Sus scrofa: one gene and its partners. Each later gene encodes a partner of the first gene's protein in a complex. Links are inferred from orthologs where the notes say so. Each region holds a gene or a part of one and is shown on either strand. Other genes may lie near its edges. The genes, in order: MED13L, CCNC, MED7, MED31, MED18, MED23 and MED20.

Region 1 (4,667 bases):
CTTTATGTGGTTGTTCAGAGGACTATGTGAAATAAGGTAGGCACACTCATTATAACATAGTGTCAGTGGGTTATAACATAGTGTTGGCCATGATAGTACACATTATAACATGCTGCTCATGGGTTTTGCTTTAGCAGTTACTTGTAGTAGTTCCTAAAGCTCAATTCACATGTCTAACACTTCTCTCCTTTTGTTACACTCCATCTTTCTCCTGTTTTCCACTCTTCCTCTCTTTTAGTCCAATCTACACGGCTCTTCCACGTTCGAGGGCTTGTTAATGAAGAAGTTATCTTCTCTCCTCCTTTGCATCGAGGTCAAGCCTTGAGGGCTGGAAAAGAGCCTCCCTATGGTGGCATTCCTCTGTACTCCCATACTGGAAATGTTGGTTACTGATTGAATGCTGGAGGGAAGGTCTGCTCCCAACACAGCCCTAGTAAAGTGCCTGGGAGTTAAAAAAAAAAAAAAAAAATTTCTGGCACAAAGCAGGAGATTAGAAAGCATTTATGCAATGAATGAACGCATGCTCACAGTGCCTAGGAGTAAGGGTTCAAAAGGCATTTCTGCATTTCTTAGTGCCTGGTATTCAGTAAGCGCTCCTGGGCGAGGGTAATAAACCTTAGTGCAAGAGCTTAGCTTCCCTGTGCATGGGTGCAGGGGTTTGAATCCCATCTCCTCCTCTTCCCAGCTGTGGGCAAGTGACTTAATCTCTTTGTGCTTCAGTTTTCTCATTTGCAAAACACGGACGACAGAGTGAAACCTTGAGACACGTGGACATGCTGTCTGGCCAACAGCGAGCCCCACCACCCAGTCGCCCAGGCCGTCAGAGGCACAGGTTAGGGGCCCCAGCTCTCCGCGGCCACTGCCACAGGCATTCCGGGGGTGAGGTAGCGCCGCGTAAAGATCCTAGCACCCGAGGGGGCGGGGCGCGGCGCCCAAGCGGGGCAGCGCACAGCAGCCTGAGGCCGCTCGCCCGGCCGCTGCCAGCCCGGCAGCCGCGCCGCCCGCACTTCTTTCTCTCCCTCCCCGTCTTCCTTCTTCTCCCGGCCGGAGAATCCGATCGCACTCGGCTCAGCAGCGCCGCCCGCGAGCCCCGCCGCCGCCGCCGCCGCTCAGGGCCCCTCCCCCGTCCCCCCTCCCCGCGCGGCCGGCGCCCGTCACGTGATAGGGCGCTAGCCAATGGCGGGCCGAGCCGCGGTCGGCGGCCGCCATTGCTGTCAGAGTGAGAGAGCCCGGGGAGGGAGGAGAAGCGAGGCTGACTGGGGAGGAGGAGGGGGGGGTGGGGGAGGAAGAGGAAGGAGGGGACGTCGCTCGGCTGCCGGGGTCGCCCGCTGGCTTCGTCCGCACCCCCCCTTCGCGAGTTCGCGCTCCGCGGCTGCGGCGGCTCCGAGGCGGCGGCGGCGGCTCCGGGGCTCGCCTCCTCTCACGCGCCGGCGGGGGCCGAGGGGGAGTCGGTGGCTGGAGATAAACAAGGCGGCGGCGGCGGCGGCGGCTGAGGAACAGGGAAGGCGGAGGCGGCGGCCGGCCCGCAGCGCCGGCCCGGGAGGCAGCGGCGGCCCTGAGAGGCGGGGAGGGCGCCCGGCCGCGCGGACAGCGCCCCCCGCCGCCGCCGGAGCCGCCGCCGCCGCCGCGGGAGCAGGAAGGAGCCGCGCGGCCGCCGCGGACCCCCCCGCCGGCCCGGGCCCGCCGCCCCCGGCGCGGCGTCGCCGCGGCGCCTCCCACCCGCCCGGCGGCCCTCCCGCCCTCCCCCGGCGGCGGCGGCGGCCCGGCTGCCCCGCGCTCTCCGGCGAGGCGCTGCCGCCCGGCCCGGCCTCGCCTCGGACGCCTCGCTCCGACATGCCCCGCTCTGGCGGCCGGGCTCGCGGAGGATCATGACTGCGGCAGCGAACTGGGTGGCGAACGGGGCGAGCCTGGAGGATTGTCACTCCAACCTCTTCTCGCTGGTGAGTAGCCGGGCTGCAGGGAGGGGGCTATGCCGGGGTGGGGGGGGGTCCCCGACCTCCGCCGCCGACCTCCGCCGCAGACCAACTTTCTCCTCCCGCCGCCGGGACTTCGCCCCTCCCTCGCCTCTCCCCGCCGTTCGCCTCTCGCTGATTCTCCCCCTTTTGGATCGTCTCTCCCTCGCCTTGGATCCCATCCAGTGTTTATTTGGCTCTTTAAAAATCATTTGTGAGCGCGGCGCTCGGCGTGGAATTTGCATGTAGAAGTCTCAAAGCTGCGGATTCTGGGTCGCACTTCGAACGCCCACCCTCTGTTGCCATCGCACTCCCCTTCCCCTCCCCTTCCCCCCCTTTTTTTCCTAAATGTGGAAAGCTTTGCCTTGTGCTGCCCGCGCCTGCGATAAGCAGCCTTTTTCCCCCCTTGTCGGATGGGCTGCCCGCCCGCCCGCCTTTTGAATTTTTAAAAAATTCCATAATGACACCTGCAATTTCGCCCGAAAACAGTTGATTGAATGCGATTGTGTCAGTAAAGGACTCTTGCACCCGAAGCTCCCGCGATTGTAAACATCGACAGCCGCCTGCCTCTTGGGGCTTACTACGCTGGAGAGCCGTAAAGCCATTGCACCGAGCCGACGGAAGGTGGAGAAAGCTTTTTCTTTTTTCTCTCCTCCTGTGTTTTTTAAAAAACTGTTTTCTCTCTCCTAACACACACACACATACACACACACACAGCAGCAGCAGCAACAAGCTGGGCGGTTTGATAACATCGCTTTTATCTGCCTTCATCTCCCTCGCGCTCTCTCTCTGATAATTGACAACTTTTCCTTCGGATTTGAATCGCCTGCCTTAATCTTGAAGCAGTTAGGGTGTCAATTGTTCTCCTGGAAGCCTGGCACCCGACGACGGCGTCTAGATTCAGCGAAATTAAAAATGTATAGGGCTCCAGCAACTCTTTCCTGGCGGTGGCAGTGACATTTGGTGGTAAATGCCATCTTTGCTTTTTATTGGGTCGTATTACCTAGCTCTGAAAACATTCACGTTGTTAAACCTGGCGTTTAGGCTAATAATTGCAGTGCGTGGTCTTTAAATATGTGCTTTGTGCATGGGTTACTGTATATATAGCTATGTGCCCGGGAGACTACGAATTTGTTTAAATATTGAGCAAAGATTTGTAAACAGATGTAAGGCAATTATGTTTCAGGCGTAGAATATAATTGGAAAATTGGCTGAACGGTTTGTTTAATTTAGCCTTAAAAAAAGAAAACCCCAACTTATTTTAAGTTTTGTATCCTTTTTGGGGGGGACTGCCTTTGGAGAGCTTGCATTTTTGAAATTGTTTTCTGTAACCCCTGCTGTAGATAGGAGCATTATTTTCTCTTAATCCTTGTTTACACTGGATAAATAATTTAGTGTTCAAATTGTAATTAGTTGCATTTAATTATGGGTAGCATAGATGCTTTTTTTTTTTCTTTGAGACTAGTGGAGAAATACAGATTCTTGCCAACTTTTCAAATGGAAGCTTTATTTTTTTAAATAAATTTCATTATGCAGATAAAAAAAATCAAAACGTGATTTTTACCTGCAAAGACCCAATGACATAGTATCTTTGCTTTCACTGTAATAAGGTCAAGTCAGTTTTTTCAACATTTTTATTTAGATATTTAATCTTAAAAATCAATGATAAGTTGCGAGTCTTCTTTATACTGTGAAAATTTTCCCTTGATCTTTTGCTATGTGGAACTAAAACTCATTTTGCTGCTGCTTTGCTCCTCTCAGTCTGTCATTTAGTATTAGTCAGATGCAGGGACTTCCATAGATTAGCAAACGTATTGATTAAGGGGTATTTAAATGGTTTTTGTTTGGCGGCTGGTGACCACTTTGACACTTTAACAGGGAATTAAAATAACCGAGTAGACCAGTATTAGTGAGGAGAGATTCCAAATTACCATATATCATGCTGACTAGCAACGGCTTGTATGTATGTGGCTAATTTATATACAGTACGTTTTGTAGACAAGTCAAAGTACATGTGTAGCCTGTCTTTTGGAGATATCATTTTTTTATCTTTTTTTTTTTTTTTAAAGCTTAAGTAAGAATGATAATGTTATAGAGATAAGATGCTTAAGATTCTTTTGGAGAGGCAATTTGTATGCTTTGCTGTGCTTTATGACTGACTGAAGGTTTATGCTTTAGATTTTCTAACCTTTTTAAACCAGGAATTGATTTTTGAATATACTTTTTTTTTAAAAAAAAAACAATTACTCTTTAGGTAGCAACTTTGAAATGCAGAACTGCAGCGTTGTTTGGGTTGATTTTTTTTTTTTTTTAAAGGACTGTAGAATGTCTACATTCTATTGTATGTAGAAAGTGGATAGGTACAAATTAAAAAAATTTAGGATTCAGAGCTGTTGATAATTATAAATTTTACTCATTGCAAATTGAGAATTTTCTTGAAAATTAGATATAGCAGCAACCTAGAATATCAAAAATATTTTGCCTAAAGTACATTGTTTGGAATTGTTCATTCCAAAGGAGATAAAATCATCACCTGCTCAAAATAAAGCATGTATTATAAGAACTTGTGGTGCATAATAATAGCATACATTTTTCTTTTTGGCCTGCAGTTATTTTTTTTTTTTTTAGTCAGAGGAAAGTATTGCTTATAGAGAATTTACCTAGATGCTCTTTAATGTAGATTGAAATGTAAACTAGAAATTATTAAAGTTCTGT
Region 2 (3,944 bases), on another chromosome or scaffold:
CTGGTCAGATTTGTTTCTGCTGAGTCATGATGGGAACTCCACCATCTTCATTTTTATACAGGTTATTAGAACAGTCTCCTTCCTGGCTAATTGGCCTCTAGCATCCCTGTTCTCAGTGTCCCTGTTCTAAGAGAGCCAGCCTATTCTCCACACTCGAGCAAGGCTGGTGGTTCTCAATAATAATTTTGCTCCCTATGGGATGTTTGGGATAATTTTGCTCCCTATGGGATGGTTTTGGTTATAACAACTGGGGTGGCATGCCCCTGGCATTTAGTGAGTAAATCCCAGGAATGTCATTAAGCATCCTGCTGTGCATAGGGCAGTCTCAAAAGATTATCCAGACCATGATGTCAGTAGTGCCAAGGTTGAGAAACTGAGCTCTAAAGAACTGTTTTAAATGCGGAATTTGGAAGTTCTTGGTGGCCTAGCAGTTAAGAATCTGACATTGTCACTGCTGTGGTATAGGTTACAGTTTAATCAGAGCTGCAGCTGCTGGCCTATGCCACATCCACAGCAACGCTGGATCCTTAACCTGCTGAGCAGGGCCAGGAATCAAACCCACATCTTCATGGATACTAGTCAGGTTCAGAACCCACAGACCCATAATGGGAACTCCGTCCTAAGAACCTTCTACATGCTGCAGGCGAGGCCAAAAAATAAAATAAAATAATAAAATGCAGGATTTATACCCCTATTAAAATCTTTCAGTGCTCCTCCCAATTTCTGGATAAAATTCACACCTTCTTTTTACCATTTCTGCTCCCAATTCACATTTTTGGGTTTTTTTTTTTTGTTTTGTTTTTTGTTTTTTTGTCTTTTGTCTTTTGTCTTTTTAGGGCTGCACCTGTGGCATATGGAGGTTCCCAGGCTAGGGGTCTAATCAGAGCTGTTGCTGCTGGCCTATGCCACAGCAGCGCCAGTTCGAGCCGCGTCTGACCTACACCACAGCTCATGGCAACACCAGGTCGTTAACCCACTGAGCGAGGCCAGGGATCAAACCCGCAATCTGATGATTCCTGGTCGGATTCGTTTCCACTGCGCCACGACAGGAACTCCCCAGTTCACTTTTTTAAAAAGCTGACTCCTCTATCTTGTTAGTGGCACTTTCTGTATCACCTCAGTCTGGGTTTAGAATGTCTCCTCTGTTCCTAATTTACTTTATGTGTGACTTATGTCATTTTCCACTGTATTTTCATTACCTGTATTTATTTATTCATTCATTCATTCATTTTCCTTTTTGGCCATACCCATGGCATGTGGAAGTTCCAGGCCAGAGATCAAATCTGAGCTGCAGCTGTGACCTCCACCACAGCTGCAGCAACACCAGATCTTTAACCTTCTGCGCCAGGCCAGGGATCAAACCTGCTCTGCCACAGAGATAAGCCAGATTATTAACCAACTGTGCCACAGCTAGAACTCCCTAATTACATGTTTTTATAATTTGTCTTTTGATCTCAATCTGTCCTTGACCTAAGCCTTACTTTACAGCTTTGTTTAACATAGGGCAGCCAGTATGTAAGTTCATGTTTGAGTTGCTGTTTGCCTAGAATATCCTTCTTAGCAAAGTCTTATGGGTAACCAGACTAGGGACTATAACACTTAACAACTTTGTGTGGGATCACTATAGCCAGGCTGGTTGGGAGAATTATATTAGGTAAATTTATGATGTAGATTGTTGCCTCTGAGTCTTTCACTATCTTTGTTAGTTTATGTTGTAAATAATGTATATAATTACATTGTGTGGAGTATATTACTTTTTTTCCCCTCAGCTCTATTTGATTATAACATCAAACTCTGTGCTAGTGTGCCCAGTTTATACCTAACTTGATCTTATGTTAATAACTTTAAAAAACAGAGGGACTGCTACTTTTAATTGAAATACCAAAACATAGTCAGTGTTGTTGACATTTATCAGTGTTTTGATTGCTAAATTTTTGTTTCTTTTTGTCACATGGACTTTTGGGTGCATTTTCACCACTGCTTTGTACTGCTGTTCAGGGATCCTTTCCTGCTATAGTTCCTCAGTGGATTTTTTCCTCTCTGACATGCCCTGACTCTCAAGGCAACCGCACCATGACTAGCTCTCAGTGGGGAGAACTTTACTATATGTAGCCCAATAACTTTTCCTATATGTAAGATTAAATTAATAGGGTGATCACTGGTAACTGTTACATGAATCTATATAAATATTAAAAGGAATATAAGAAAATACACATAAAGTTTTAGGTGACTTTTAAAATCTTAAGTGAGTCCATGCATTCCATGTTTGCACTTAAAACATGGACCTTTGTCTCATTTTCTTTCCAGCCTGCCTGCATGTAGCCTGTGTTGTACAGCAGAAAGATGCCAGACAGTGGTTTGCTGAGCTTTCTGTGGACATGGAGAAGGTAATTTTTAAAGTTTCCTTGACTGAATGTAAACTTGAACATTTTAAAATTAATGTTATACTTACTTACCATGAGACTCAAATTTCATGATGTCAGCCAGGCTAAGAATATTTTTGGTAAAGAAACGCTAAGAAATATGTGACTATTTAGGTTATATTTCTCTTCAGTTTAGGCTTAAATAGAATGGTAAATTTAGGGTTTGATGGTTGCAAAGCAGCCTCTAATTGCCAGGATTATTTTATTTTATTTTATTTTATTTTAATTAAGTAATTAATTAATTGTCTTTTCTAGGGCTGCACCTGCAGCATATGGAAGTTCCCAGGCTAGGGGTCTAATCAGAGCTGTAGCAGCCAGCCTACACCACAGCCACAGCAGCTCAGAATCCAAGCCTCATTTGCAACCTATGCCACAGCTCAGGGCAACGCTGGATCCTTAACCCACCGAACAAGGCCAGGGATCTAACCCACAACCTCATGGTTCCTAGTCGGATTCGTTAACCACTGAGCCACGATGGGAACTCCAAGGATTATTTTAGCTCTGATTATATTTTGGCCGAGCCCTCAGCATGCAAAAATTCCCATGTCAGGGATCAAACCTGAGCCACAGCAGTAACAATGCATAATCCTTAGCTACCAGAGAACTCCTGGGACTGTTTTAAAAGCTGCCTGGTGACAAGTGACCTAGTGAATACTACTGTAAACTTTTGTAATACAGCCTATCTCCTGACAAAGTAGTTTTTGCCCTTTTTTCTACCTTTTTTGCTGAAATATTCTAGAATCAATCCAAGGTTAGGTCTACTCAGGTGAAGAAAGGGCAGATTTGGAAAGCAGATTTGAGAGATTTGTAGCTGCTGGTTTTTGAGCACCTTCACTCATGTGTAGCGTAGTTAATAGAGAATCAGAACAAAGTCTTTTGTGCACTACTGCCCACTAAATTATTTGAAATGATTGTTATTAGAGGAGTATACTCTGTAGTGGCATACTCTTCATAATCTAGACCTCTGTTCCTTAGTACCTCAATATTTTGGTTTGGTTTAAGATATCAATAGATAGAAGGAAACTAACTGCGGAGATGGATAAGGATAGACCAGGTATACATATTAAAGATGAGAGGTTAGGAGTAAAAGCCGAAATTGCTGTATGGTAAAAATAGTGCTTTCACATTTATCAGGATTGTCTAATCTAAGCTGAAGGACAGGGGCAATCTTTTCACTGTTTTCTGAGGGATATCTAATACGTGATATGTCTTCTTTATATACTAAGTGTTGCTTGATATTGCCGTAGAGAACTTTTCAAATATTTTCTTCTAGATTTTGGAAATAATCAGGGTTATTTTAAAACTGTATGAGCAGTGGAAGAATTTTGATGAGAGGAAAGAGATGGCAACTATCCTTAGTAAGATGCCGAAACCAAAACCTCCTCCAAACAGGTACTTTGTAGACTTTATATATTGATTTTATTTACTTGTATATTTTATATACATATCATGTTTTTTCATAGATTACGTTTTGTTTTCGTAAAATTTTTTCCAAAACTTCATGACTCATGTTAATTTTTT
Region 3 (4,445 bases), on another chromosome or scaffold:
GATTTATGGCTTGAAACACTAGGTATATAATGGGGACATTTTACAAGATAGGAAAGATTAGAAACGGAGAGAACAGGTGTAGGGTGTGGGTATATACGGTAGATGGAATCAGAGAACTTTTTTTTTTTTTCTTTTCTAGTTTGAAACATCCAGAAGGAGCCCAGACGCAGTCTGGAGATAAAAAACCAAGAGTTAACAGAAAGACATTTACCGTATGTCTTCTGGTGGGCAAAATCATGCCTGGTTGAGAACCACTGTAGAAATGGTATTTAAAGCTGTGGAATTGACTGAGACCATCCAAGGGAGAACACGAAACAGGTCTAAAATTACTGATCAGCAGGCAACAACGATTGTTACAGATAATTCTTTTTGACCTCGCAGTACTTGACAATTTCTGGAATTAATTGCCAGTATTTTTAAAACTTGAGAGATTTCATGTAAAAATATGGGGGTTTGCCCTTGAAACATCAAGAAACTGAGAAACAATGAATCTTCTTTCCCACATGAATGCTAGTGGCAGGAAGCTTTCAAGTCTGGCAGGCAGATGCTCAGTTTGCCCTAATCCCTGCCTCAGAGTGCTTCACTCTTTATATTGCCTGCCTTTTCCCTTTGGTATTTGAGTTTGTGATTCTCATTTAGGGCAGCCCTCTGAGGCATGCCAACATTAAAATTTGGATAGAGAAGAAAGGGCGGTAAAGGATACTGAGAAGGAGTGGCCAGTGGGGTAGAGGAAAATGAAAATGTAGGATCACTGAAGCTGGAGGAGAAGCGGAGTGTATTGCAAATTAAGGAAATGCTGCTGAGAGTTTTGACTAGTATTCATGAGGATGCAGGTTCAATCCCTGGCCTTGCTTAGTGGATTATGGATCTGGCATTGCCACAAACTGGTATAGGTCTCATATCCAGCGTGGCTGTGGCTGACAGCTGCAGCTCTGATTCGACCTCTAGCCTGGGACTTATATATGCCGCAGGTGCGGCCATTAAAAAAAAAAAAAAAAAAAAAAAAAGAGAATGCTAAGAGATTAAGATCCCCTTAAAGTCCATGGGATTTGGTCATGTGGAGATTGTTGATGACCTTGATGAGTAGTTTTTGTGGAGGTAGGAGGTTGATACCATACTGGGTAGTGACAAAATGAATGAGGGGAAGGCTGGTACAGCAGTAATTGTGGTTGGTTTAGTTCGAGTAACTCATGATGCCCACGGCCACTGCCTCACTGACTCTCAGCAGCATCTTGTTCGTCACCTCTGTGGCTTGGTGGAAACTTGGAGCTACTGGGCAGCTGCCTTTAGTACCTCATACATTCCAAGTATAAAACGGCATCCAGTATTTTACCTGTTATCTCTGACGTTGGGTGGTGTCATATCTTTTTTTTTTTTTTCCTTTTTAGGGTCACACCTGCAGCATATGGAAATTCCCAGGTTAGGGGTCGAATTGTAGCTGCAGATGCTGGCCTGTACCACAGCAGCACCAGATCATAGCTGAGTCTGCGACTTCCACCATAGCTCACAGCAATGCCAGATCCTTAACCTACTGAGCGAGGCCAGGGATCGAACCTGAGTCCTCATGGATACTAGTCGGGCTCATTACCACTGAGCCACAATGGGAACTTCCAGTGTTATGTCTTGAAAATCTGATAAGATCAGTCTAAGTGAGCACTCGAGATCTTACCATTTTTTTTTTTGATATACCTAAGCTTAAAATGGAATAAATAGAGGTTATTGTGGCTCTTGAAGATATATTTGGATTTGAAATTTCTTTAGTGGATGTAGAAAAGTTAACGTGTCTATAAAAAATAGTTGAGTACATTGCAGAAAAAGAGGGTATGGAATTGGGTCATTTTATCAAAAAAGCACAGACGATGTGAACTTGTCTGGAATATAGCAATTTTAATTTTGTCAAGGTGTTTCTTAGACCATAAGTTAGCGTTTGCTTTTGGAAATGCATCTATAATATAAAATAAAAGTGTTGTAACCTCAGCTGGGGAGACAGCATGTGTAGTTGACTATAAAGAGAGGTAGAGAAATAGGGCATAACTGGTGAGGGGTGTGGAAACCAGAAGATTTCCTTTATAGCTGAAAATACAATCAACTCTTGAACAACTCAAGAGATTAGGGGTGCCTCCCCTCTGTGCAATTGGAAACCTGAGTATAGATTTTCCAGTTCCAACCTGTGTTCAAGGGTCATCTGTATGCTACAGTATATTTTTTGTGCCTGTGAAAGTATTAGGTAGAAAAGAAAAGAAAAAAAATCTGGATAGTTGAGTATATAATGCTAATTAGAAAAGGATGGCAGCCTTTCTGTGTTATAAATGTTAGTTTTAGAAATAAAAGAACTCTTTTTGTCCTGGGCCCCAAACTGCCGTGAGAAAAAAAGGGAAATAACCTTGTTTGTAGTCACTAAGTGTGGCAGGTTTGTTCTGTAGCTCTACTCTCAATCTTCGGTCTGTTTCTGTAGGTTTGTGATCTTCTGCAATGGGTGAGCCACAGCAAGTGAGTGCCCTTCCGCCACCTCCGATGCAGTACATCAAGGAATACACAGATGAAAACATTCAGGAAGGCCTCGCTCCCAAGCCTCCACCTCCAATAAAAGACAGTTACATGATGTTTGGCAACCAGTTCCAATGTGATGATCTTATCATCCGCCCTTTGGAAAGTCAGGGTATCGAACGGCTTCATCCTATGCAGTTTGATCACAAGAAAGAACTGAGAAAACTCAATATGTCTATCCTTATTAATTTCTTAGATCTCTTAGATATCTTGATAAGGAGTCCTGGGAGTATAAAACGGGAAGAGAAGCTAGAAGATCTTAAGCTGCTTTTTGTGCATGTACATCATCTCATAAATGAATACCGGCCCCACCAAGCCAGAGAGACCCTGAGAGTCATGATGGAGGTGCAGAAGCGGCAACGCCTTGAGACAGCAGAGAGGTTTCAGAAGCATCTGGAACGAGTCATTGAGATGATTCAGAATTGCTTGGCTTCTTTGCCTGATGACTTGCCCCATTCAGAAGCAGGGATGAGAGTAAAAGCTGAACCAATGGACGCTGATGATAGCAACAATTGTACTGGACAGAGTGACCAACAAAGAGAAAATTCAGGTCATAGGAGAGACCAGATTATAGAGAAAGATGCTGCCTTGTGTGTCCTCATTGATGAAATGAATGAAAGACCGTGAAAGATGTTTCTTTTCCTTGCTGATTTTTTCCTTTCAGTAAATAGCATATATATTAGTTAATTCACTTTTAGAGAATTCTTTGAAGAGATACAACTAGTAGAAGGCACGCGAACAGCTTGACTCTCCAGCTTTATCAGTTGTGGGACGTCACAGGCAGTATTTTCGTCTGTGGCAAGCATAGCTAGATTCCTACTTAGCTTAAATGTAGTGCCCCAGTGAGAGTAATCACCGTGAAGGGCAGTGTTCGCTGCTATTGGGTGGAACGTCCCTGTTTTCAGAGGTGCAGTGAGCTGGAAGATATCCTCAGTAATTGCAAGCTTTCGTCCTTGGAAAGTAGATTTGTCATTTGCTTTAAGAGTGATAAATAATAAAGGATATCAAACTATGTAAATGTGAACTTAGGAAATCTTTTGATTTATTCCTCTTAAAAGATGGCTTAATCTCTTTAAAAAAAAATAGTGTTACATGTTAAAAGAGAGAAACCCCATAAGAGTTATAAAACAGTAATTTTATTTTTCCTCTTGACTGCGCCTTATAAATATTCTATCCCAGCCTCTTGGTCCTTATTCTGGATGGGTTCCAGAACTTTCTTCTGGCCACTGTGACAAGTCCTTTGATCACTTATAGTTATATTCACTTTAATAATTAAGGTGCCCATACATTACATTTCCTAAACTTGGAGTTGCTTAAGGCTGGAAGCCTGCTATGGGTAGGGGGCTTGGTGGCAGAGACTGCTGGATGTCCACTGGAGATTCTTGCTCCCCTGAGATGTGCTGCCCTGCCAGGGACTTCATTTCTCCATTCCCCTTGCATATCTGTGAGGCCACGTGACTGAGTTCTTAACAGTGAAATATGGTGTAAAAATCTAGGCCTGCCCCATAAAAATTTTTTGCCTCGTCATTCTCTTCTCATCTGCTGGTGTTACGGTCACACCCAGGAAAAGTTTGGAAGTCACTTGAAGATGGCAGAAGTTCAGTCCAGGAGTTCCTGTTGTGGCACAGCAGAAATGAATCTGCTAGTATCCATGTGGATGTGGGTTCAATTCCTAGCCTCGCTCAGTTGCTTAGGGATTTGGGGTTGCCGTGAGCTGTGATGTAGTTCATAGACGTGACTCAGATTGCTGTGGCTCAAGCCACAACATGGCTTGGATTGCCCTGTGGCTGTGGCTGTGGCCAGCAGCTGTTGCTCCAGTTTGACCCCTAGCCTAGGAACCTCTATATACTGCAGGCGTGGCCCTAAAAGGCCAAAAAAAAAAAAAAAAAAAGAAAAGT
Region 4 (4,633 bases), on another chromosome or scaffold:
CTATAGCTTAAATGCCAGGATAATACCTAGCACAGAGTCGGTGCTCAATATGCAGGCTCCCTCCCCTGCATCTCCTCAAATCACAGGTCAGGTTTGCCTTCTAGAATTATTCTTTTTTTTTTTTTTTTTTTAATTTTCCCACTGTACAGCAAGGGGGTCAGGATATCCTTACATGTATACATTGCAATTACAGTTTTTTCCCCCATAAAATTATTCTTGATTGTTGATGGTTGACCTTCATTTTCCATTTTGAACTGCACTTGACCTATGTTAAAACATGTGTGGCTGGGGGGCGGGGGGGGGTACCATGCACAAGGGCTCAGCATAAAGAAAAGAACTGCGTGCTTTGAAATATAAACATAGGCCAACTAATTAAGGAATTAACTAATTAAGGAAAGTCTGATCCCTGCCCCCCAGGTTTTCAGCGGGCACATAATCAATCCACTGGTCATGATTTCTGCTTGCTCCCTGTCCTTAAATTTGAAGCAGCAAAGGTCATTCAGGGCTTAAGGACCCCCACACTCACCTGTCTGAGAGGTTCAAAGAGCCTCTTTGTCCATCGACTCAATTCATACAGTATCCGGGGCCCGGAACTTTTTGTGCTGGTTTCAAGTTAAAACAGTTCACAGGGTCAAAGGCAGGATAGTCCAAGGTGCAGCTGGGTCAGTGAATGTTGGCTGAGTCCTGAAACCACAGCTTGGCTCTTTCTTACATTGATTTGTGGATTGTGGACTGTTTCCAGGAAACCAAAGGGAATCGGTCCACCTGGCAGCAGGCCGGCTGCGAACTGGAGGCAGATCTGCACTGGCCACGGGCCATGGCCCTGTCGTGGCCCTGGAGAAGGAAGCATCTCATGGGGCCTTTTGGACATTCTGGCGGCCTGCCGGCTGCTCCTGCCGCGGCGGGCTCTCTACGCGGTGCAGAGTCGTCTCCACCCGCAGGCACGAGGCCCTGACGCGGCGGGAGGCTGTTTCCGTGCGCTGCCAGGTTTCCACGTGCTGGGACACCTCGACGACGCGAGGGAGCCGTTTCCCAGAGGGGGAGACGGAGGGCCCCTCGCTGCAGTGCTGGGTGGTCTCCACCCGCCGGGAGGACGTCTGCACCTGGCGGGAGGATGTCTCCACGCGGTGGGACGAGGTCTCTACGCGTACCGTCGACGTCTCCTCGTAGCGGGCGGCCGCCGCCCGGGGCCGCGAGGGCTTTCCCCGAAGGGGTGAGGCCATTCCACGGGGGTAACGGACCGAGCGGGCCTCGGGAGGCCTTACCGCCTCACGCTCCCCGACGGGTTACGTCACAGGGTGACGAGTGACGTCACATGCCTGTGTGACGCAGGTACAGCGCTAGACGAGGGTGCCACGACACAGGGACTTGGGGACAAGGTTTCCTTGAGGGGTGGGGAGGGACGTGAAAACTCCTTGGCAACTCTGGGCCGGGCCCCTCAGGCGCTCGGTCAGCGGGCGCACCGCCCCCTCGTCTGTCAGGAGCTCCCGCGAGCGGAGGAGGGGCTGGGCTGGGCTGGGCCGGGGCGGGCGGGCGGATGGGCGGAGCCACCCGCCCCCGCGCGAGGCTGATCCCGCCCTCGCGTCCCACACTGCCCCGCGGCAGGAAGAGGGAGCGGCGGCTTCCGGCACGTCCCCCGCGGCTCCGGGCGTTTGCTGTGCTGGGCTGCTTGTGGGTTAGCGTCTTTGCTCGTGATGGCCGCCGCCGTCGCTATGGAGACAGGTGAGTCGCGCTCGGAGCCACGCGTCTTCGCAAGTAGAACTATCCTGGGCCCAAACCCCCGCTCCTGCTCCCCCGCGTTCTCCTTTCAGGCCTGACTTCTTTCAGGCAGAGTGAGTTCGGACCGGGAGGGCCGCGGACTTTTCTAGTGTCGGAAGGGTGAAGGTAGTTTGGCCTTTTCAGAGTTTAATTTGTTGGCCAACACTTTTTCTTTCATTGCTCTTCAGACACCGGCACCACTGGCTTCCGGCGAGAACGAGAAAGAGAATTTCAATTTTAAACCAATCTTCGGTTTGTTTTCTGCGTCTCAAACGAGCTTGCATAAGTTAAAACATCGTCGACACATTTGTGTTATTATACTACCAACGACGCTTCTCACCTAAGCACACGCTTCTTGATCTTGTGTACTCGCCGTAGCCTCTGTCAGCTTGCATTCTGAACTTTTTCTTGGTGGCTTTAGCATTCACTTTGTTTTTGTTTACTAACTTTATCACCTAGCTACTTGTAATGCATTATTAAAATTAAGGCACAGTTACCCTAATCTATCCCAGTGATCACTGTTAAATTTCTTACATGGTAGCTCACGGGTCATAAACATTCTGACCTGTGTGTTCTTGCTTTCTTTGATGACTTGTCTTTAAGTTTAGAGAAACGTCTTACTCCTTTTAATCAGGGCTTTGCTTTCCTTAGACTTCTAAGAAAGGTTTTTCTCCTCCCACGCCCAGTTTAGGAAAATATCACATGCCCTTCTTTATGAAGAAGTGTATTTCAGCATTAGGTTTATTACTGATGTTTTCTTTCTACAAATCAGTATTCAGTGACGTTTATTTTGGATGATTTTTGATATCTTCTCTCCTAGATGATGCTGGGAATCGACTTCGGTTTCAATTGGAGTTGGAATTTGTGCAGTGTTTAGCCAACCCAAATTACCTTAATTGTAAGTTGAGCAGTACCCCGTTGAATTGAGTAAATATTGATGATTTCTGACCGAAGAGTTGCAATTCATAGTACTGTTGGCCCTTGGTATCCACAGTTCAACTGCAGTTGGTTGAATCCTCAGATACAGAAGGTGACAGTACTGTCACTGTCATCGCACTATACCATTTTATATAAGGGACTTGAGCATCTGTGGATTTTGGTAATCTGTGGAGTCTCCTGGAACCAATCCCCTGCAGAGTCCCTGGGATGACTTTATCTACTTTTATACATTCTCAAGTGAATGGAATTATTGCTACACTTTTACTGCTATATATTATCATTGAGCAGACTGGGACTTGTGTTTTGAATTCAGTGTCTTTTTTTTTTTGTTTTTTGGTCTTTTTGCCATTTTCTTGGGCCGCTCACATGGCATATGGAGGTTCTCAGGCTAGGGGTCGAATCGGAGCTGTAGCCGCCTGGCCTACGCCACAGCCAATGCAACTCGGGATCCGAGCCGTGTCTGCGACCCACACCACAGGTCTCGGCAACGCCAAATCCTTAACCCACTGTGCGAGGCCAGGGATCGGACCGGAAACCTCATGGTTCTTAGTCGGATTCGTTAACCACTGAGCCATGATGGGAACTCCCTGAATTCAGTGTTTTTTAGTGGTGGGGATGTTATGTTAAGTTTACTTTATGTATGTCAGGAGTCAGAAATAAGTAGTCCAAGGATGGTTTGCTCTACAGATTTTTTTTTTTTTTGTGCCTTTCAGTTCTTGCCCAAAGAGGTTACTTCAAAGACAAAGCTTTTGTTAATTATCTTAAGTACTTGCTTTACTGGAAAGAGCCAGAATATGCCAAGTATCTAAAGTAAGTTTAATTTTCATAGTCCTAAATATATGTGTACTTTATTACAAAGACTGATATTTAATTAGATGTCTTAGTTTCACATTTGAAAAAAAATTTTTTTGCCTCTTTGTGCTCCTTTTAGTTTCCACCAGTTTAATATGAAACACTTGTTTCTAAATTAACTTGGATTATTGCAGTAATCTCACTGGTATCCCTACCCCACCCCCACCCCCACCCCCACCCCCACCCCCACCCTTCCACTTGAAATAATTTCACCTAAAAACAACTGGAAATAATAGAATTTCTGTATATTCTAACCAACAGACCTCATTCACATTTTGCCAGCTGTCTCACCAATATCCTGTGTCTGGTGTAGTATCCAGTCTAGGCTCAGATGCTGCATTTTGTTGTCATGTCTTCTTAGTCTCCATTAATATGAGTTTTAAGTCTTCTTTTTTTTTTCCCCTCCATAAGTGACACAGAAATGATGTTATATCCTTCTTGGTATGTCAGGAGTCACAGGCAGTCACTTCATTCTATGACTGGTGATATTAATTTTGATCACTTGGTTGAGGTGGTGGCTGTTATTTTTATCCATATCAAGTACTATTTTTCCTTTTGTATTTAATATGTATCTTGTGAGGAAATACTTTGAGTCTGTAGGAATTTCTTGTTTCATATTTCATTCTTTTACCCACTAACTTTAGCATTTACTGAAGATACTTACTTGCTTGAGACAGTTTTTACTGTGGTGACATGCTTTGTTTTTTGTCTTTTTAGGGCCGCACCCACGGCATATGGAGGTTCCCAGGCTCAGGGTCAAATTGGAGTTATAGCCACCAGCCCACACCACAGCCACAGCAACATGGGATCCAAGCTGTGTCTACAACCTACACTACAGCTCATGGCAACACTGGATCCTTAACCCATTGAGTGAGGCCGGGGGTCGAATCTGAGTCCTCATGGATGCTAGTTGGGTTCGTTAACCATTGAGCCACGATGGGAACTCCTCTGTGGTGATGCCTTTTTTTTTTCTTTTTTTGTCTTTTCACACCCATACCTGCAGCATATGGAGGTTCCCAGGCTAGGGGTCTAATTGGAGCTGTAGCCTCGACCTACACCACAGCCACAGCAACGCGGGATCCGA
Region 5 (4,419 bases), on another chromosome or scaffold:
ATTCTTTTTTTTTTAATTTAATCCTACTTTTGAAATGTCAGATAAAATGTGGGTAATATTTTTTTTAAGTTTAAAAATGTAAATGAGTAAGACAGTATAAATTACAGCAGGGGAAACTGGAATTATAAATGACTGTATAGGAGTTCCCATCATGGCTCAGCAGAAATGAATCTAACTAGTACCCATGAGGATGCAGGTTCCATCCCCAGCCCCAGTCAGTGAGTTAAGGATCCAACATTGCCATGAACTGTGGTGTAGTTGCAGACTTGGCTTCGATCTGGCACAGCTGTGGCTGTAGCGTAGGCCAGGGGCTACAGCTCCGATTCAACCCTGGCCTGGGAACTTCTATATGCCTTGCTCGGTGAGTTGGGGGTCCAGGATTGCCATGAGCTGTGGTGTAGGTCACAGATGCGGCTCAGATCGCACATTGCTGTGGCTGTGGCATAGGTCAGCACCTGAAGCTCTGATTCAACCCCTAACCTGGGAACTTTCATATGCCAGGGTGCAGCCCTAAAAAGAAAAAAAAAAAAAAGATGTGTAGCAATTAAGAGGGTGGGTTCTGAAATCAGGCAGCTGCTTAAATTTGTACCCCAGTCTAAACTCCCTGGTGTGTTATTTCTTGATGCCTAAGTTTCTCCATTAGTAAAATTAAGTAATAATTATACTTGGGTTACAGGGCTGCTGTGAAGATCAAAAATTCCAATATTTTGTTCATTAAGGATTTTTTTTCCACATTAAATTCGTAAAAGATTGCATTACAATTTTTTGAATTGTTAGGAGTTTTGGTGCCCCTTAAATTTTTCGCTCCAGGGAGTGCCTCAACCACCATACTCTAGCTCCATTCTTTGCATTTTACATGCTTGACACACAAGCAACATTCAATAAATGAGCTGAATTTACTTATCTCCCAAAATTTTTGAATTGAGGTAAAATAAACACAGAAGAGTGAACAAATATCAAATGTATTGCTGAGTTCCCTAATTGTTCAGAACAGTCTGCTAAACAGTAAAAGATGTCTTTCCTTCTTATCTTCAGGTACTCAACCAAAAGAAGTTTTGGTTTTATGATCTCTTTTTTTCTTCAGCTCTCTTCCCCCGGCTCTCTTTTCCCCCTGTAAGTTCCAAAAGAATTCCTTGACAAAAACAACTCCAGGCCGTCACACTTGAAAAAAGGAAAATATTTTCCGGGAGGACTGCCTTTGATGTCAAGGTCCCCCTCACGCCCCGAGGAACGCGCTCAGGAAGGCCGCCCTCTTCCACGCAGAATCGCAGTTTGCGCATGCGCTTCTACTTGCCAGGCCGCAGAGATGATTTTTATGCCTTCCCGGCACCCTTACGTCGCAGAATGGTGATGTCAAGATTTGCGCGACGGAGACTTTTTGCCGGAAGTGGAGGGGAGAAAGTGTTGCACTCCACCGGGGGGTGGGGGTCTTCAAGTTCAGTGCTGGGGGCTAATTATCGCTAAAAAGCTCCGAGGTGCTCTGGTGGCTTCAGTTCCCTGCTTTGCCAGAAAAGGCTAGAACACGCGCGGAGGTGTGTTTTTGGTGTGAGTAGGCACGCGTCGATGGTGGGGTAGGAGGACCTCAATCGTCAGAAGAACTTCGCACTTCTGTCTGGCTCGCTTTCAAAGGCGTTTTGAACGCCTAGATTTTTGTCTGGTTTATCTCTGCCATGGACTTGCTCTGTATCCTTCCCTCCAACCCCCACCCAAAGTGTCAGTATCCTCATCTCCAAATTGAAGGGGAGTCACCTCTCAGTTCTATTATTTCACGGCTATTGTGTCATCTGAGCCACAAAGCCTTGGGGGTTAAATGTCGACCTCATTTTATAAGGAAGACATTGAATCCCAGGGTCAGCGGTTTGATGGCTTATTGCACAGGAAATTCTGAAACTGAAGGTTTCAGACCTTGAGACTGAAAGATTATAACTCCATGATCAGGCCTCCTTTGTGTATTTCTGTATCATCAATTCCTGAAACTGACTTATGGAAGTTGTTCAAAAAGTTCTGGATGAATGAATGAATCTTTTGATGTTAAGGCTAATGACCCAGGTAGATCTGGTGTCTCTCCATCTCTCTGATGTATTAACAAGCATAACTCTTTTCCAGGTGTGTCCTGTGCTTTATTTGACTGGGACTCTGAATCCGGTTCTGTTGCTTTCAACTTAAACAGATAGCATGGAGGCACCTCCAGTCACTATGATGCCTGTCACCGGGGGCACCATTAACATGATGGAGTACCTGCTGCAGGGTAAGTGAACTAGGGAGCTTAGATTACCTGATTTCCTCTTTTCTGTTCAGGTTCCATGGAGATGAAAGGCTAATATACAAAGGCTACATAATTTCTGGCACCTCTTTTTTTTTTTTTTTTCAATTTGGCTTTAATTATGGTCACAAACATATAGCATTAAACATTTTGAGCATAACATTTAGTAGTGTTAAATATGTTTGCATTGTTGTATAGCCAATCTCTAGAACTTTTTCATCTTGCAAAACTGAAACTCTGTACTCATTCTTCCTTTCCCCTCCCCCCAGCCCTTGGCAACAACTTTTCTACTTTCTTTTTTTTTTTTTCTTTTTTTATTTTCTTTTCTGCTGAACCTACGGCATATAGAAGTTCCCAGGCCAGGGATCGAACCCACACCACAGGAGCAGCTCTGGCAGCTACAATGACAACACAGGATGAGTAACCCACTGCACCACAGGAGAATTCCAAACCTTTCTACTTTCTGTTTCTAATTTTGACTACGTTAGATAACTTTATATGAGTGGAATCATATGGTATCTGTCTTTTTATGACTGGTTTATTTCACTTAGTATAATGTCCTCAGCGTTTACCCGTGTTATCACACGAGACAGGATCTCCTTTCTAAAGGCTGAATAATGTTCTATAGTATGTATATACCACATTTTCTTTATCTGTTCTTCTGTTGTTGGACATTCAGGTTGCTTCCACCTCTTGGTTAACATGGATAATGCAGTGAACATGTGTATGCAAATATCTCTTCCAAGATCCTGCTTTGAATTCTTTTGGTTAAATATCCAGAAGTGAAATTAATGGATCATATGATAATTTTATGATACTATTATTAATTCTTGTAGATCAGGAAATAGAATTGAAGTAACTTGCCCAGATGAGAAAGCTCAAAACTCAGTGTAATGATTTTCAGGAGGCCTTATAATGTTTCGCAAAAAAGTTTAGACTTTGAATTATCCATTTAAGAACTTAATATGGAAGTTCCCGTCATGGTGCAGTGGTTAATGAATCCGACTAGGAACCATGAGGTTGCAGGTTCGATCCCTGGCCTTGCTCAGCGGGTTAAGGATCTGGCGTCACCATGAGCTGTGGTGTAGGTTGCAGACACGGCTTGGATCCCACCGTTGCTGTGGCTCTGGCGTAGGCCGGCGGCTACAGCTCCTAGATTAGACCCCTAGCCTGGGAACTTCCATATGCTGGGGAGAGGCCCTAGAAAAGACAAAAAAAAAAAAAAAACTTAATATGAACGAAGTAGGGTTATTAACTTTCATTCTTCCAGCTGTCCCTCCTTCAGTCTTTTCCATCTTAGTAAGTGCCTGTCATTCACCAGTTGCTCAAGCTATGAATTCAGGAATCAATCTCCATTTTTTCACTTTATTCTCACCTATAGCTTATCTCTAGTTCTGTTTATTTTACTTCCAAAATATATATTAAATATGTCTTTTCTCCACATGCAATGGCTTGGTTTATCATCCTTTGAACTATTTTAGTAATTTTGTGCTTATTGCATTGCTTCCACTTTTGATCATCTGTCTCTTCTCACACAATAGTTCAACATCTTTTTTTGGGGGGAGGCAGTTTTTTAGGATCCTTAACCCACTGAGCGAGGCCAGGGATCGAACCCGCAACCTCATGCTTCCTAGTCAGATTCGTTAACCACTGCGCCACAACGGGAACTCCAGTTCAACATCTTTTTTAAAAAATGTTTTATTATTAAAAAATTCAGGGAGTTCCCGTCGTGGCGCAGTGGTTAACGAATCCGACTAGGAACCATGAGGTTGCGGGTTCGGTCCCTGCCCTTGCTCAGTGGGTTAACGATCCGCGTTGCCGTGAGCTGTGGTGTAGGTTGCAGACGCGGCTCGGATCCCGCGTTGCTGTGGCTCTGGCATAGGCCAATGGCTACAGCTCCGATTGGACCCCTAGCCTGGGAACCTCCATATGCCGCAGGAGCGGCCCAAAGAAATAGCAAAAAAAAAAAAAAAAAAAATTCAAACACAAAGAAAATAGAGACTGATAGAATGAACACTCAATTTCTGTCATCTTGATTGTACTTTCTGTTATTTTTTTCATGTTTGCTTTATCCTTTCTTTTTTTCCTGTCTTTAAATACAATTTCAGACTTCATAACATTTTACCTCTAAACACTTTCAGTATACAGCTCTGAAA
Region 6 (3,944 bases), on another chromosome or scaffold:
ACATTTGTACAGTGCTCTACAGTTTTCAAAATGTTCACATGTAAACATTTCATTTGATTATCAATTTATCTGATATGAGCCTTCAAGAAGGGGTTTATCAGAGCGCTTTAGGCAAACAATGCAAACCCAGTACAAATTAGTTTGATATGACTGAAATGTATTGATAGCTCCTATATGATCAACCACAGGTATAAACGGTTGGTTTTATGTAAGTGGGCTCTTATATCTGTGACTTAAGAGCTACAGATGCAGCCAAGCTATCCCTAGGCTTTATCAACTTATTTCTTTTAGTACCTATAGGACAGTTAATAAGAAAATTTCTTTAGCCTAAGTAATTCTTTTACTTCAGGAAATAATTCCTTTGTGTAGTAAAATAAACCTAGTAAATAGTGGCATGGTGTACAATGTGCTATTAAATACAATGTGCTAATTACTTGAAATAAAAATATCAATATAGAATTTCTCACTAAAAAAAAGAAAAAGAAGTTTTATTACTATCTATTAATGCTTTAAAAAATTCAGGTTTTTATTTAAAGCAACAAAATTCTATGTTCTCTGGTGGTGAATAGATGCATGTACTACAAGACTTAGTACATTTATTTAGGAATAGGATATTTTTCTTTGAAATAAATCTCTTCTCTAAGGTCTTTTTTCTTTTTTTAGGGCTGCATCCACAGCATATGGAGGTTCCCAGGCTAGGGGTCTAATTGGACCCGTAGCGCTGGCCTACATCATAGCCACAACAACGCAAGATTCGAGCTGTGTCTATAACCTATACCATAGCTCACGGCAACACCGGATCCTTGACCCACTGAGCGAGGCCAGGGATCGAATCCTCCTCGTTCTCATGGCTAATGGTCAGATTCGTTTCCGCTGAGCCATGAAGGCGGAAATATAAATTTTTAAATATAAATTTTTTTAAATATAAATTTTAGTGGAGTAAATTTCTACCTACATGGCATGCTGCTACTAATTTAAGATTTCAAAACCTTTACAGAAGCAAAAATTAAAACATAAAACATTAAAAAACCTGAAGTCTTGGAACATATAAAAAGACAACATATGTTCACACATATCGACATACAGTTATTTCTGCAGAGACTGGAAAAGCACAATAAAAAGGATATTATCTACTAGTCTGCCAATCAATTTGCAATAGTAGGAGTCATCGGGGACCCAGGGATTGTCTTCTCGTGCGTTCATAGCACATTTCAGGTAAGTGTCACTTAGACACCAGCCCTGTGGTCGGTTATCCTTGAGCGACCCAATGATTGCATGGACAAGTTTTCGTTTGAGACTTTCACGATTTCTCAGGTGCATTTCATAATAGTGCAGAGTATTATACAAATAAGTTACTGGACGATCTGCCAAGAAGAAAAGAGGTCACTACAATGTTTACCTGGTTACTGACAACTGTGAAAAAATAACCTTCTATTTTTAAGATTACCAATAAATAGCTCAGAAGGTTATGAAAACTACTTCACATGTTGGCCAAGTGCATACAATGAATGTTTTTATCCTAGGACAAGGCAAAAGGCTTCTAACAATATACAGAGCTTATATTGAAGGATATTTATCACATTCTGAGGTCACAATTCCACTTCTGGAAATTTACTCTGCAAAAAATGTCATAAATGTAAGCAATGTCGCTGAAGCCCTGCTTATACCAGCAAAAGATCAAAACAGCCTAAAGAGTGAAAAACAGTGGACAGGTTAACTTAATTACCGCATATAAGAAGCAGCTTTGTATGTACTGATACAAATTTATCAACCCCAATACATTAGAAAGGTTAGAAAGGTTAAAAAAAAAAAAAGGTGCAGAACAATGTGTAGTATTACATATTTGTGGGAAAAAGACTACCAACCTCACAATATTTATGGTACGATACACAAGAAAGTGGTAACAGAAATTGCTTATAGAGAAAGAAACTGCTGAACTAGAGCACAGGCTTGGGACTAACTACTTTACACTTCATTATGTGCATATATTATCCGATCCAAAAGAAAAGTATTTTTATTTTTAAAATTTTTTTTCTTTTTAGGGCTGTACCCACAGCATACGGAAATTCACAGGCTAGGGGTCACATTGGAGCTGTAGATGCAGGCCTACACCACAGCAACGCTGGATCGTTAACCCACTGAGCAAGGCCAAGGATTGAACCTGCATCCTCATGGATGCTATTCAGATTTGTTTCCGCTGAGCCACGAAAGGAACTCCAGAGAAGTGTTTTTAAAAGACTGCTCCCTTGAACTTCATACTTACTCTACAGTGCTAAAACATAATTCAGATTTGTTTTGGAGGAAGACTTCTTACACCAAGGATTAAGAAGAACTACCCCCCAAATAAACACTCTGTCCCCATAGTGGCTACTCCAAGACTTCCACACTCTGTCACTGATTTCACTATTCTCCAGTTATCAAGCTTAAAACATCATAGAGCTGTCTTTGCTTTCTTTTGATATTCCCCCCATAACTGGTCAATCAAGCCCAATTCTTACTTCCTTGACTATCTGTCCCTTCTTTCTCATTCAAGGCCATCATACTTGTTTAGATGCTAATACAACTGAATGTCTTGTTATAAGTCTTTAAAATGACTTCCTCCTTCCAAGTTGTCCATATTGGAATTACAACTGACTAGATTTATCTTTCTAAAATAATACTATGACATGACTTAACTCAGTAACTTCTAGTTAATGCTTGATTATCTTTAGGTTATAAAATCAGAACTTCTGAGCCTGGCATTTACGGTGATCTGCCATCAGGTACAATTTAGCCCAACGAGACGACTGTTTTCAAAATGCCTTGTTTTTAACATCTCCATGATTCTTCCAAAAGATTTTTTCTGCCTAGTATGTTCTCTTCTCCTTCCTATTTATATAAATCCCATACATCATAGTTCAAACCCTAACCATCCAAGAAGCCCACTAAGATCTATTTAGTTCACAGTAACACCAGTCTGTTCTGAACTTATTTTTTTTCCTTCTGTACTGATTTGGAAATTAATCACACAATATATACAACAAGGCTTCTCTTGCATATTACTTTTTTTTTTTTTTTGCTCTGATCTGTTGATATTTTTATGTCATTTATTTTACATTTCATGGCATCATCACACATACCTCCTCTCAAAACACTTATATTAAAATTATTAAAATAAAACCTTTAGAATCACCATTATCCATTTGGTCATGACCAGCCTACTTTTGTCTACAGGGCTATTAGATGGAATTAAAATTTGAAAAAGCTCACCATGAAATTTATACAAGCCTCCCAGGTGATCTAGTAGAGTCTCCAATGATTTGGATACTGGGAGCAATTCTAAAAATCTGTGGATTACTATATCAAATACTGGAAGGAAGCGGAGACACACATTTCCAAAATAGATGGGCAGGTAGGGAGACTGGATCGGCACAGGAGGATCAACCTGCTCTGCCAGGCCCTCAAAATAGAGCTTCTCCGGATATTTCTGTGGAAATGAGGAAATGGTAAATGTTGAGGCATGTTTTTTTTTTTTTTCTCCTTAAAGGAGCTAAACTTGTCGTTTTTCACAGAATCTGAAACTGTTTGCTGCTACAATAAAATGAAACTTAAGAGTCCTTTTATCCAACAAAAAATCTCTACTGTTTCAAAGATACATTTACATACATAATTCTTTTCATTTTTTAAGTACTCATGTCTACTAAAACTATAGTTTTAATTTATTCTGAACATTACAGATAGCCTCTAGAACCTTGAGAAAGTTAAGAGAGCTAATTCACTTCTATACGGACCAGAGAGAAAACAGTAGAGCTGCAGAGAAAACAGCCAGGTCAATTAGCCAAATACCTACAAGAATGGCTTTAAAAAGGATTAACTGAAGCACTAACTTGAATTAGTACCTTGTGATAATTCATGTGCTTGGTGTGCCAGTCATTCTGTAGCCAGTGCTCTGGGGAATTTTCCTT
Region 7 (4,589 bases), on another chromosome or scaffold:
CATATGCCACAGGTGCGGTCCTAAAAAGCAAAAAAAAAAAAAAACAAAAAACAGAGACAATAGTGCAACCTTGGGGCAGGTCCAGATTCCTCCTCAAGGAATATACATAGTATCTTTGAGCCCTTCTGCAGAACTATTACTTGATGAAGTATGAAGCATTCTTCAGTGGAAAAAAGGAGGACCACCAGAACCAGTCCTGGGGCCACTAAACAGGAGCGTGAGAAACCGTGCAAGTTTGCCTCGACCCTGGTCCTTAACTGCGGCTCTATTTTCCACTCTTACACTGTAAAACCATCTCCTAATCTCTCTCAAGGGGACCATAGTCTTTAGGGCACTAACCTGCTCTGGCCCTCCTTTGGCAGAGCAATAGAGATATCTTTTTCTTCTTCACCCAAAACCCTGTCTCTGTGCTTCAACTGGGCATCGGAGGACAGAGACAGAGTTTTGGCAACACTACCTGCCTCATATCCTAGCTCCCCTCCTCGCACCGGTTTCCTCCGTGCTACCTGAGATTCTGTCTCCCGGGCCTAGGTCCTAATTTTGCTCCAAATAAAACTTAACTCTCAACTTTTAGGTGAAGGTCTCCAGCCACCCTAAATCCGGCCAGGGCTGGGTCTCCCATTCCATTACCTTTGCTAGAGTGTAATACGCCCCCCTGGGTTTTTTTTTTTTTTTTTAATTCCAAACTATTATCCTGCCGGACACTTTTCAGCCTACCACTACCAACTACCCATCCTCTTTCTCGCACCCACTCTCGCTACTCACCCAGCCGCGTGGTGCGATCTTGAGGTGCCGCCGGCCTGTCCCCGGTCCCATGCTCAGCCTCGAGCTCCTCTTGCTGCTGCCGCGCTTGTTGCAAAATCCGTCGGGTCAGCCGAGGCCCCACGTACTCCTCCTCCTCTTCTCCGGTTCCGCGACCCCGCCGCTTTTCCCGGGTCCCCGCCCGCACCGCATTCCCAGCCAGGATTTGGTCGGCCAGGGGCGCATGCTTTTCCTGACCCTCGGCCCCGCGGGCGGCCTTGAGTTTGGGCATTTCGCTAGAAAACCTCGCCGGGAAGTTTCACATGTGGGGACAGAGGAAAAGCTCTGAGTGCGCCGGCGCAGGGAACTCCCCAGAGGCCAGACGGTGATTACAGCGCCCCCTGGTGTTCGGAGGCCGGACCTGCCACCATCCCCGCCCCACCCCCTGATAGAGCTCCTGAGTCCTGGAGCTGGACTCCCGAATAAACTCATTGCAATTAACATCGCCTTCTCTAAGCAGTGGCAGTCCAAGCCACGCTTTCTTAGCTTCATGAATCTAGGCCCGGGGTGATTTGTCGAATAGGAAGTCCCCGAGCTGCAAGCCTAGGGGGCGGAGCCCTGCAGTGACGTCACTGGAGGCGCCTGTACGCCCCGTTCCTCGTGGCCGCCGAAGGGACTCGCACTTTTTACGTTATTTCCGGAGCACCTCCTACTACCGAAGCTTTCGTTAGGTCGGTGGTTTCACCTCGCGTGGGCTGCAGCAGAGCACTGCGTATCAGCTGTTCAGTACTGTCATCTTCCTGGCCTAACATCATGGGAGTGACTTGGTAGGACTTCAAGGGATTTCGTGGGGCGAAGCTTGGGGTGGTGAAGGGCCGGTGGAGCCTCCAGTGTCCCCGAGAGGAGGATCGGGATCAGGGTCTGAGAGAGATGCCCTCGAGTTGTGTGGGTGAGGGGACCACTGTGAGGGCTGCGAAATCTGCGGGCCTTTTTCCTCGGAGATGCGCCCCTTCTTTCTCAAAGGTGGCAGGTTAAAAATTTTTATCTTAAGAATCCACCAGTGGTCGCGTACCTCCTTCCGTTTTTCTTGGTATATTCTTCCTGCTCGTCATCCCACAGTACTGCCTGGGGTCGGAAATAGTATGTCGGGTTTAGGACCCATCTGCAGTCAAGGTTGGATGGGTTGTGGGGAGGGAGATAGACAACATTGAAGGCAGTATCTTTTTTAGGTTTTTGCCCTTCCCTATGGCCACTAAATGCAGTTAGACCAGCCTGTGTCTAGTTCTAATTTGGCCATTTTAAGATCTCGGGTCTAGAGGGGGAAAAAAAGAAGCTATTGGGAGTTAGGAGATTGGGATGTTAGGCACATCACCTCCTCAGAACCTGTTTCCTACTATGTTTAATTACATGCTTGGTTTAGTTTCTGTGGACTTAATATCTGTAACGTGTTATGAGTCAGAGTGCAGGGAAATATGGGCCTCATGCTCTTGGAGGCATTAGTTCCAAAATGCTAGATTTCAGGGCTTAAAAGAAAAAAAAAAAAAAAGGTATCTGGAGCATCTTTCCAATCAGAGAGGGCTAGAGGCCAGGGTATCAGGAGTCAGTGGCTATAGAGTCTTCATATAAGAAAAGAGCCTGTGGGAATTCTTCCTCCCAGTCACCCAAGTCTTGCACACTTGTCAGTGACTGCACATTTGCTTCCTGCAGTTGACATCATGAGCCTCTTTGGAAGTCTTTTAGTGTAAGGAGGATGTGAAGAATGGAGATGAAAAGTTTCCTCCGCAGAGGCATGGAATCCTGGAAGCCCCTGTTGTTTTTTTCTTTTCTTTTTTAAATTAAAATATAGTTGATTTACAACATTGTGTCAGTTTCTGCTGTGAGGCCCCTGTTGTTGTTTTTGTTTTTGTTTTTGTTTTCTTTTTTCTTTTTTTCTTTTTAGGGCTGTTCCTACAGCTTTTTTTTTTTCTTCTTCTTTTTTTCTTTTTAGGGCCGTTCCTGTGTCACATGGAAGTTCCCAGGCTAGAGGTTGAATCAGAGCTGTGGCTGCCAGCCTGTGCCACAGCAATGCCAGATCCGAGCTGCATCTGCAACCTACACTACAGCTCATGGCACCGCCAGATCCTTAACCCACTGAGCGAGGCTAGGTGATCGAACCCATATCCTCATGGATACTGGTCACATTCTTAACCCGCTGAGCCACGAGCAGAACTCCGAAGCCCCTGTTCCTTCAGTGCAGAAGGCAGACAGAGGGAAAAGGCCCTCTGTTGGGACCCTTCTCGACTTTTCAGATTCCTAGTACTTTGGACCCCAGTTGTATCATCTAAGGGATTCTCTTATTTTTCAAAATAAAGGCCATCATCATTGTGGCTTGTTAGTGCTCTTCCTGATGGAGATTACTGACAATTTGTAGCAACAGCAGGGGTCTGTTTTTATATTTTCCTTTAGTTGATCATAATTGGTCATAAAGTAATGCAGTACCTCCCAAAATTCAGCCACATAATGATTGTCTTTATGATTTTTATATAACTTCATAGCACTTGAACTATTTATTTTTTTTTAATTTTTTTTTTCTTTTTGCCATTTCTTGGGCCGCTCCCGCAGCATATGGAGGTTCCCAGGCTAGGGGTCTAATCAGATCTGTAGCCGCTGGCCTACGCCACAGCTCACGGCAACACAGGATCCTTAACCCACTGAGCAAGGGCAGGGATCGAACCCACAACCTCATGGTTCCTAGTCGGATTCGTTAACCACTGCGCCACGACAGGAACTCCTAATGCTTTCTTTTGATTCTGTTTTTTTCCTTATAAGTATTTTAACAGACAACTGTATCCTTAGGAAAGCATTCTTTTTTTTTTTTTTCCTCTTTCAGCTGCACTCGAGGCATATGGAAGTTCCCAGGCCAGGGACTGAATCTGAGTCACAGCTGTAAGCTGTGCCACAAATGTGGGAATGTCAGTTCCTTAACCCACTGCCCCAGGGCAGTATCAAACCCATGCCGTCACAGAGACAATGCTGATCCTTAACCACAGTGGGAACTTGGAAAGCTTTCGGTGGAGCATTTAAGAGCATGGACACGGAGCCACCTCACTTGACTACACTGCATTAAGCAGTATGACCTTGTGCCAGTTACTCAACCTCTCTGTTCAGTAGTTTTCTCATTTGTAATGAAGAAATGATTATGCTGTGTCTTATAGGGCTGATGCAAGTTAATTCATCTAAAGGCTTTGGGCACTGCCTGGCTCATAGTTGGTGCTTGGTAATTATTACCTACCACTTAAAGTAGAAGCCAGTTGCACTCTCCATAGAAGGAAATCTTGGAAATAACTTTTTATCTCATTGTTTTGGCTAAATTCTTGTTGCCTCTCACTCTCAAAGATTAGAAACTTGAGGCTTGCTTTCTCTTTGATCCAAGGATCCTTAGAACTTTCTTCATTGATGAAAATGTTCTATGTCACTGTCCGGTACACCAGTTCCTAGCCACTTGTGGCTATTGAGCTATTGAAATGTGGGCAGTGCAACTGAAGAGTTGAAGTTTTCATTTCTGTCGCACATGGCTTGTGGCTCCTGTGCTGGACAGCTTTCGTTCAAAGTGTTAGAGAGTTAGTAAAAACACAGTAACCCCAAATGGAGGCTTTCTCCTTGATGGAGTCAGAACTGAAAGAAACACAGAGTAAATTCCTTTCTCATCACATGACTTAGTGTCACTGAATGCTCGCTCTGTGTGCCACCTAAAACATTGGCACACATGCCACACTTGGGAAATGCAGGTGCAGTAGGCTGTTCTCTGCAAATGTGTGAGACTCCTAAGACCAAGCTCTGGTTCTTAGCAGAGCCCCAGGGACTGTGGG

The links.
Region 2: MED13L (region 1) and CCNC share a complex: the UniProt entries of both Homo sapiens proteins name them as parts of the mediator complex. The link is inferred for Sus scrofa from reciprocal best matches to the Homo sapiens genes MED13L and CCNC.
Region 3: MED13L (region 1) and MED7 share a complex: the UniProt entries of both Homo sapiens proteins name them as parts of the mediator complex. The link is inferred for Sus scrofa from reciprocal best matches to the Homo sapiens genes MED13L and MED7.
Region 4: MED13L (region 1) and MED31 share a complex: the UniProt entries of both Homo sapiens proteins name them as parts of the mediator complex. The link is inferred for Sus scrofa from reciprocal best matches to the Homo sapiens genes MED13L and MED31.
Region 5: MED13L (region 1) and MED18 share a complex: the UniProt entries of both Homo sapiens proteins name them as parts of the mediator complex. The link is inferred for Sus scrofa from reciprocal best matches to the Homo sapiens genes MED13L and MED18.
Region 6: MED13L (region 1) and MED23 share a complex: the UniProt entries of both Homo sapiens proteins name them as parts of the mediator complex. The link is inferred for Sus scrofa from reciprocal best matches to the Homo sapiens genes MED13L and MED23.
Region 7: MED13L (region 1) and MED20 share a complex: the UniProt entries of both Homo sapiens proteins name them as parts of the mediator complex. The link is inferred for Sus scrofa from reciprocal best matches to the Homo sapiens genes MED13L and MED20.

Annotation. Positions count from the first base shown.
Region 1 is NC_010456.5:36,062,282-36,066,948, forward strand, and holds the start of MED13L (mediator of RNA polymerase II transcription subunit 13-like), read left to right. Parts: upstream 1-1,747; 5' UTR 1,748-1,868; coding exon 1,869-1,940; intron 1,941-2,019; exon of another isoform or gene 2,020-2,576; intron 2,577-2,621; exon of another isoform or gene 2,622-2,918; intron 2,919-4,667. UniProt on the Homo sapiens protein: Component of the Mediator complex, a coactivator involved in the regulated transcription of nearly all RNA polymerase II-dependent genes.
Region 2 is NC_010443.5:66,475,656-66,479,599, reverse strand, and holds part of CCNC (cyclin-C), read left to right. Parts: intron 1-2,307; coding exon 2,308-2,387; intron 2,388-3,696; coding exon 3,697-3,815; intron 3,816-3,944. UniProt on the Homo sapiens protein: Component of the Mediator complex, a coactivator involved in regulated gene transcription of nearly all RNA polymerase II-dependent genes.
Region 3 is NC_010458.4:66,117,526-66,121,970, forward strand, and holds the end of MED7 (mediator of RNA polymerase II transcription subunit 7), read left to right. Parts: intron 1-139; 5' UTR 140-212; intron 213-216; exon of another isoform or gene 217-318; intron 319-2,455; 5' UTR 2,456-2,472; coding exon 2,473-3,174; 3' UTR 3,175-3,571; downstream 3,572-4,445. UniProt on the Homo sapiens protein: Component of the Mediator complex, a coactivator involved in the regulated transcription of nearly all RNA polymerase II-dependent genes.
Region 4 is NC_010454.4:50,727,263-50,731,895, forward strand, and holds the start of MED31 (mediator of RNA polymerase II transcription subunit 31), read left to right. Parts: upstream 1-1,418; 5' UTR 1,419-1,694; coding exon 1,695-1,722; intron 1,723-1,946; exon of another isoform or gene 1,947-2,010; intron 2,011-2,578; coding exon 2,579-2,656; intron 2,657-3,410; coding exon 3,411-3,507; intron 3,508-4,633. Other genes in the region: C12H17orf100 (uncharacterized protein C17orf100 homolog), read right to left, coding at 852-1,223. UniProt on the Homo sapiens protein: Component of the Mediator complex, a coactivator involved in the regulated transcription of nearly all RNA polymerase II-dependent genes.
Region 5 is NC_010448.4:85,382,741-85,387,159, forward strand, and holds the start of MED18 (mediator of RNA polymerase II transcription subunit 18), read left to right. Parts: upstream 1-1,344; 5' UTR 1,345-1,545; intron 1,546-2,106; 5' UTR 2,107-2,175; coding exon 2,176-2,248; intron 2,249-4,419. UniProt on the Homo sapiens protein: Component of the Mediator complex, a coactivator involved in the regulated transcription of nearly all RNA polymerase II-dependent genes.
Region 6 is NC_010443.5:31,991,069-31,995,012, reverse strand, and holds part of MED23 (mediator of RNA polymerase II transcription subunit 23), read right to left. Parts: coding exon 3,879-3,944; intron 3,467-3,878; coding exon 3,250-3,466; intron 1,365-3,249; coding exon 1,128-1,364; intron 1-1,127. UniProt on the Homo sapiens protein: Required for transcriptional activation subsequent to the assembly of the pre-initiation complex. Component of the Mediator complex, a coactivator involved in the regulated transcription of nearly all RNA polymerase II-dependent genes.
Region 7 is NC_010449.5:37,070,986-37,075,574, reverse strand, and holds the start of MED20 (mediator of RNA polymerase II transcription subunit 20), read left to right. Parts: upstream 1-1,424; 5' UTR 1,425-1,554; coding exon 1,555-1,568; intron 1,569-4,589. UniProt on the Homo sapiens protein: Component of the Mediator complex, a coactivator involved in the regulated transcription of nearly all RNA polymerase II-dependent genes.